2 linked regions of the Schizosaccharomyces pombe genome follow. The gene in region 1 interacts genetically with each later gene. Each region holds a gene or a part of one and is shown in the gene's direction. Other genes may lie near its edges.

Region 1 (5,004 bases):
ATTTAATGCAATGGGGCATATGACAATAAGCACTTTAACTGAATTTGCTTCCTTATGAGAAGTACGCAAAGCAGTGACTTTAAAGTAATACAGCGGTTTTCACTAAAGTGCTTGTATACCATAGCAATGGATGAAGAAAATAATTAATGGAAAAATCATTATTGTAGACATCTGATTAAAGAAAAAAATAAAGAAATTAAGACTATGAAATTCTTTTTCCTGGTTTTTTAACGGCGTCGATTATAACCATAATGATGAAGATGCGGTTTTTGAATGAAATTGAAAAAATTGGCACAAAATTTTGAAAACATGACTAATAATAAACGTGATGGTAATTTCCGTTTGGACCATGCTGCATATAATACGGATTCGCATACCACAAACCATTCTCACGTTTGGTAAACGGACGATAAAACGCAGAATATGAATGGTTTATTTTAGCTTCAACATTGTATAGAGGGGGAAACTGGCATGTTTCTTTACGATTATAATGATTTCTACTTTTTCGGTGATTAATTTGTGGAATCCAAGTTTTAGCTCCGGGGTTCATGCGAGAAGTATTTGCTCGAACTTTCAAAGGAAGTTCTTTTCGGAGGTATTCTTCTCGGGCTTTAAGCGCAACTAATAATTAATAATTTAACATAAATTAGTCTACTTACGCTCATGCTTTAACTGCATTACCGGAATGCTCATTGTGTCGACAGCAATAGCCTTTTGCAAGCAAACTATGAGATGTGTTAAAAGATGTGAATGGTTCGTTTATTACCTTCAATTTTGTCTTCCATTGTCAAATTATCAGCATGTATATGTGAAATCAATTATAATAAAGGATCTCAAAATAATTTGAATAGTTTCCAAAATTTCAATCAATTTCGAGAAATGATGGTAAAAGGAGCTATATTATATATTTGTGCTTCGTCAAAACAAAATGAGTTATAAATTGCACCGATATTACTTCTATGACCAATTTCATATTTGTTTACACATGTGACTATCATGTGGTAAACAATCGATTCCAAAAGCGTTTTTGTAAACAACAACTACTACCTTTATAATCAATCATTAACGAGTAAAGGAATTGAGGCTAACTCTTCATAATACATATTACCCGGTTCTCCAACAGCGCCTGTTTTCATAATACTTAGTTTATCAAGTTCAATATTATGAGCCCAAAGAAATTGACCGTATTTTTCCATAAAAGGTTCCGAATTAAAAAACCTGATACGTCGCCCCTGGTATTTTATATACCTGGAATTTAACAAGGTGCAGTGTAGCTAGTTTTGTTAGCAAAATTATAATTTGGTTAACATCGCATAATGCGTACAGTAAGAGGTCTAGCGTCTTTAGTAAAAAGATTGTGTTCAGTGAAAATAACTTTTAACCATTCTATGAATTAGCTTATTAATAAAAAAAATAAAAACTCCGTACCACAAAAGGCTTGTAAGTCATTACCATTATGCTTGTCCACTGGAGTAGCATACAGCACCTTGGCTTCCTGAGGAGATTTCCCAAAGAAAGAAGTTCCCTTTAAATCGATTGTAATCTTTTTCTCGCCATAGGATTTTCGGATTTCATCCTCTTTGTTGTATAAAAAATCCATGCACTTGAGAACGTCTTCGTCGTTTTTAACCGGGATCATACCAATAGTAAGATGTGAGACACGAGGGCCACGAAATCCAGATAATATCATGGGATCATTAGATGTTAGTTTAAAATACTTTAAAGATTCCTCGATATAGTGCTCAGATATCGGTAAGGCCAAGAATAACAAATTTGGATATCGCATAATAATTAACAGATTACTATGGCAAAGTATTCAAAGTAATTTATTTACGGAAAGTTGTTCTGCGGCTCAAACAAAATTCACTGATCGCTAATGAAATATGAGGTAAGAGGAAATCACTTACAAATTTATAATGTAATTAAAATTGACTACATAACAATAATCAGGCTGTACTAATAATAATGTTTAACAACGTCGTTTATATTGAAACGAAAATTGTTCTTCATCCTATCCATTGATTTACTATTGCTGAATTAACGAATTTCATATAGCGTCATTAAGAAATATTAAGTTGTCAAATCCTAAAATCGGTAGACTTATTAGTCTAATCTTTAGATGATAAAATGCGAAGCAGTTCATTTGATCATACATATATATCAACAATTCCAATTCTTAAAAAAATAAGAAAGATAGCTGCAATTATTAGATATGGTGAGTCAACGCTTCGTTTGAGTTTAGATACACAGTCCAACTAAGGATGCCAGATGGACTATTCAACACCACCACAAAATTATTAAAAGTTGTTAAACTATAGAAGAAAAATATATTATACATTCTTCTGAAAACGTGATAAGCCGAAAGATATTTTTTAACACTTCGAATACCTAGGTGGCAGTCGACACACGTATAAAAGAAGTAAACGCATGACTAACTACTAAAAATGGCTCAATCTTCCTACTCTTCTGGTAATTCAACTTCAGATTTAAACAAGATTGTTTTGGACTATCTGTTTAAAAAGGGTTATTCCAGGACTGAAGCTATGCTTCGGTTGGAAATATCCAGTGTTGGCGCAATTCCTGAAGAACAGCAAGACTGGCACATCGGTGCTTCTGAAACTTATGTACAAGTTTATATTTTATTAAGAGATTGGATTGATGGTACATTAGATTTGTATAAGCCAAAACTACAAAAAGTCCTTTATCCAATTTTTGTACACTCTTACTTAGACTTACTGCAAAAAAATGATCCCGAAATGGCAATATACTTCTTTGAATCATTTCGTATAGAGCATGAAGTGTTGCATGGCTATGACATTCGAGCATTAGCTCAGTTGAAGATTGCATCAGACGTTGAGGAGATAGAAATAGCTCAGCTTTATCGCAAAAATAAATACCGGATTAATTTCACGAGGTCTACATTTGATTTACTAGTACAGTTTTTGTTCGAAAACGAAGTCAATGGAAGTGGAATAATAATTCGCTTATTGAATCAGTACATTGATATAAAAATTACTATGCCTCAAGTCGAGGGCAAGGAGGACCCTAATGTGCAAGCGGTCTATGAAATGGACGAAGCTAAAAATGAACAGACAATAATTAGTGAGCAAGAAGGAATTCCTGGCCATTCCGAACAGCTTCTTGATTACAACAAGCAAAGCATACAACTTGGATTACGTCCCTTGTCAGAAGAAGTTGTCACAACTTTAAAAAACTTGTTAGAAGTAAAAGATAAAGACGTGGAGGGAAGAAATGAAGCTCTGAATAAAATATTGCATCCTGCAAAGAACCTTGTCGAATTGCTGACTGAAAAAGAAAATCTAATCAACGAATCAACTCTAGAATCACCATCTGATCCCCCATTACCTCCAACCAAAATGAAGGACATAGACTATTTTGTTTCTTTACTGGAAAGCGAACAGAATTCTTTAATACTCGGAAAAAATGCTACGGATCCTAGTGTTTTCATGTATACCATGCACAATACACTTTCCGCTGTAAATTGTGCTGCATTCTCTGATGACGCCTCTATGTTCGCTCTGGGTTGCGCAGACTCTTCAATTCATTTGTACAGTTCTACTAACAATGGTCCGCAACCATTAGTGGGAAGTCAAAATGAGCCTTTACAAAAGTCCTCTTTAATTGGACATACGAGACCAGTTTTTGGAGTGAGCATCTCTCCTCAAAAAGAGTTTATACTGTCATGCTCTGAGGATGGCTTTACTCGTTTGTGGTCCAAGGATACTAAGTCCACTATTGTCAAATATGCTGGTCATAATGCGCCGATTTGGGACGTTCAGTTTTCCCCTTTCGGCTATTATTTTGCAACAGCCTCGCACGACCAAACAGCACGTCTATGGGATGTTGAGCATGCAGCACCTTTGAGAGTATTTGTTGGACATCAAAATGATGTGGATGTAAGGAACTTTATTTAACTAACAATTCTTATGAGCAGTAACTAACCTTGATTTAGTGTGTTTCATTTCATCCGAATGCAGCTTATCTTGCTACAGGATCTAGTGATCATACAACTAGAATGTGGGACGTTCGCACTGGTGGAACAGTTCGCGTGTTTAATGCCCATCATTCTCCTGTTTCTGCATTGTGTATGTCTGCTGATGGCTTATCGTTGGCATCTGCTGATGAATCGGGCATAATAAAAGTGTGGGATCTCAGAAGTAGTAATCAGCACGTTTCATTCGTTAAACACTCTAGTATCGTTTATTCTCTTTCTTTTTCATATGATAACAAAATTCTGGTTTCCGGAGGTGCAGATACTGATGTTAACTTTTGGGATTTGACATACCGGAATAACTTATCGGACGGCGAACAGTCCCCGCTTTTATTCAATTTTAAAACCAAAAATACTATTATACAAAACTTAAGTTTTACTCGAAGAAACTATTGTCTAGCATTAAGCTCTTCCTAAATATCATGTACATTATGGCCCGCAAATTTTGTGAAAAAAAGAGATATATTATTTTAACGATAACTTTGATATTTGTAAATTTATTCATATTTTTTTAAAATACAATTATACGCAATAAGGTTTCGTAAAGTAAAGAAGATGTAAGTTTTAAGCTTAATATGAAGTCGATCATCACTATCAGAAAGGAACATCTAACCGAAGATTATAAATATAACGGATATGTCGAACGCCTACCACCTTACCACTTTAACCAACTTTAAGAATGGCTAAAAAACTTTCATCACCCAAGGAATATAAAGAATTCATTGATAAATTCGATGTTTTTTTGTTCGACTGTGATGGTAAGCGCTAGCAAAAATATGAAATCTATTTGTAGGCTAACACGCAGGTGTACTTTGGAGCGGCAGTAAGCCTATACCAGGAGTTACGGATACCATGAAGCTCCTTCGTTCTTTAGGTAAGTCCCTTTTATTCTTTTGAGTTAACTCTTTTACAGGAAAACAAATTATTTTTGTCTCAAACAATTCTACGAAATCAAGAGAAACATATATGAATAAAATCAATGAACACGGTAT
Region 2 (3,053 bases), on another chromosome or scaffold:
CAAGAGAAAAGTAGTGATCTCCGTAGGTACGTTGGATTAACAATTGCATCTCTTCGCTCCAACAACCGCACAAGAATTCACAATAGATATTGGTACGAGCAAGATCATCACTAAATTCTTGTAGTAAACTAGGGGATACATCGATGGTACCATGCTTTTCTGAAGAATCATGTTCTTGAGTACAAAAGTACCAGTTTAGCAAAAGGTTAGGTAAAGTAACGTAACGAAGAACATCAACATTGAAATCTTGGAAAACCAAAGTACAAGGGATACGATGCTTGTAAAATTCCTGAAAACAGCTCAAAATAGGAATTGCACTTCCACAACCCAACTCCAAGACCGTCGTCAAGTTGTTTTTTACAACATCTATCTTCTTGATTTCATTAGCAAGGTCCAGGCTACATTCCCAAGTTTTGTAACCACCCTCGTAAACGTTAGGAACAAGATCATTACAACCATCTAAAACTTTGAGTTTATCGTCGCTTTCTATGGAATCATCTTGTTCCATCAATTGCATTTTCACATCCCATAATTCCCTTTGTACAAACGTATGTCCTAACCCAGAAACACGAGCGTATGATAACTTTTCTGGAATATACTTCAACATATGTCCCAGAGAATCCGATTCTATAGCAACGCTCGGTAACGAATCCGCACCGACATCTTGGCCGTTTAAATTGTTTGGTTCATCGTAAAAGCCAAACGAAAACCCATTAGCTTGCATATTTGCAAGTTGATTGATTTCGCAACCTGTCTTGGCTTTAGTAGAAATTGTATGTCTTGATCCTAGTGTAGGATTTTTGCGTACAGCGGTACGACTCGTTCATGTAGACAAAATAGCAAAACCAATGTGAAGAGTAAAGAAAGAGTAATTACAATGAATTAAGGTTAAAAGTTTATTGAATGGTTAATTAATCATTACTCGTGGATAGAGAGAAAAGTTCCATTTTCAAATTCGTTCATACATTTTATTTGTAAAAAAGGCGAATTTCAGAAATTGGATTTAGGATTGGAGCCCTCGCAAGTGGCTCTGTCTTGCCTAAAAAACATTTGTATCAAACGAAATCAATATGCTTTGTAGTTTTTGCAATCTAGCTTTTCCTATAGAAAATAGCAATTGCTTGTTAAACGGTTTGTACCGGGTTCCTTATCTTCATTTGCATAATAACTTACAATTAGCGAGTGAAAATTGAATAAATAAAAGCGAGGAATATGTTCATCGAGGGATATCACTATTGGAACAAACAGGTTTTGCGAAAGGAAATATCAATATTGTACTCCTCTATTTTTTTACTAAACGCCAAGTACTGCTACATTCAAACAACATTTTCCATTTCATAATCCTTTTCAACAGTCATTGCGATTGCAATTCTGATATTATTATCGAGACAAGGAAATGAGCATGATATTTTGTACCAAATTAATTTGTTATGAAACCCTTCCGCCAATTTCTATTGAGAATCCATATATATTTTTTATTTGGCTATTATTTCAAATTTATGGCTCGTTGTATTTGAAAGAGCATGATAGTATTATAAAGTACTTAGTAATCGACTGTTTTGCTTTCGTTCCAGTAGCGGAGTTCATGTTTTTGCTCTCAGGCATTTATATTAAATATTAAAACATCTTTTAGGTTACTTAATTTTAAAAAATCATCATGCCATCGTATCAACGAAACCGCATATCTGATCATCAGTAACTACAGCCTTGCTTCCTCTACCATAATTAAGCTAATAGTAAAAATGCCAAAATATAACGTTTCAGATTTCAAATCTAAATTTGATAAAGAATTAACAAACCATTTTAACAAAAATGGTTATAAGCAATCCTTTGTATTTGAAGATATTCGTTTGCTGATCGCAATAGCTTGCATTATACCCGCCGGCCTCGCATTTGGCATTGAGTATGTTTATGGTTTTGGTGTTTTAAAATCTTACTTAAAGTATCTTTTACCTTTATATTTCCTAGCTTCCTGCTTGCTCACATTTTGGTCTTCTGTAGTCAAGGGTAGTACTGTTTATGTTGCTACGAAAAAAGAAAGACACATCAAAATTTCTGCGGATACCTTTTTACCTTTGAAAAATAAGCCTCTAATCACTACTAAATTTACCGTACTCAAAAACAGAAATGCTGTTCAACTTGAATGGTCGGTTCCTGTTGCTCACATTTTTGAAGAAGATGGCCAAATATCAAGTGCAACTTTTGAGGCGGAAATTTCAAAGTACTTGTCTCAAATTGAAAACTGATTGAGCTCAATTTTTTTAATCAATTCTCAATTTGAGTTGTTGCCAAAAAGCGAAATACTCAATTACTACATTTTCGTTAGAAGGCTTCCATGCCTGCCACAACGTCCGTATCGTATTCTTATTTTTTAACATGAATTTTATTGCTACGTTTTCCATTTACCAGCGGCAATTGCCTAATCATGCTATGGATTTTTTTTTCTTGAAATCTATCCTACCATAAACCACTCTCTAACAGGAGTGAAAAAATTGGAGATTAATCGGTTCAATGTTTTCGATTCTGGGAAACTCGTCTAAAAAGAAAAGAAATACTCAAATTTACAGAATTTTTTTTACTTTAACATTCTCTTTGTCGAATCTATTTCTTGCAATATGTTACCTTTTTTTGAATGTGAGGACTGTAAGCTCAGATTCATCTGTTTCACTTTACGATAGACAGTTGTTCGATCAGTCATCTTCTGTAATTTTAAATCCTGATACTTCAGACCCAAGCATTGTGTTGTCGTCTTTAGAAACAATGCGTGATTTGGCTCATGATATAAAATTTGGTCAGGATGTACTTGAACAGCCTCTGTGCGATCAACTTTTTGTTTTGATGGATGGGAAAGACTATCCAAATACGATTCGTTCAATGTCGTCTGTTGTTTTGGCATCAGCGCTTAGCAATAATTTCATAGCTCAGAAAAAGGCTTTAGAAATGAATATTATGCCAAAAATTGTGAACACTTTACGGCAGGAAAACCACCCAGTTACATTACTGAAGAAACTTTTCCTATTAAGTAAATCTGTCCAATCTTTTCCTTTATCTGA

The links.
Region 2: mutations in taf51 (region 1) and spc2 together harm fitness more than expected from each alone (negative genetic interaction), as found in Schizosaccharomyces pombe (one large-scale study listed by BioGRID).

What each region holds. Positions count from the first base shown.
Region 1 is NC_003423.3:3,031,437-3,036,440, forward strand, and holds taf51 (transcription initiation factor TFIID subunit taf73), read left to right. Parts: upstream 1-2,270; 5' UTR 2,271-2,444; coding exon 2,445-3,917; exon of another isoform or gene 3,918-3,973; coding exon 3,974-4,429; 3' UTR 4,430-4,503; downstream 4,504-5,004. Other genes in the region: protein mug98, read right to left, coding at 314-621, 660-693; SPOM_SPBC15D4.13C (ASCC1 family protein), read right to left, coding at 1,056-1,274, 1,325-1,386, 1,453-1,786; pho2 (4-phosphoerythronate phosphatase/2-phosphoglycolate phophatase, involved in detoxification of glycolytic by-products), read left to right, coding at 4,692-4,770, 4,818-4,886, 4,926-5,004.
Region 2 is NC_003424.3:3,862,194-3,865,246, reverse strand, and holds spc2 (signal peptidase subunit Spc2), read left to right. Parts: upstream 1-1,742; coding exon 1,743-2,246; downstream 2,247-3,053. Other genes in the region: ribosome methytransferase Hpm1, read right to left, coding at 1-724; protein Sil1, read left to right, coding at 2,512-3,053. UniProt on the Schizosaccharomyces pombe protein: Component of the signal peptidase complex (SPC) which catalyzes the cleavage of N-terminal signal sequences from nascent proteins as they are translocated into the lumen of the endoplasmic reticulum.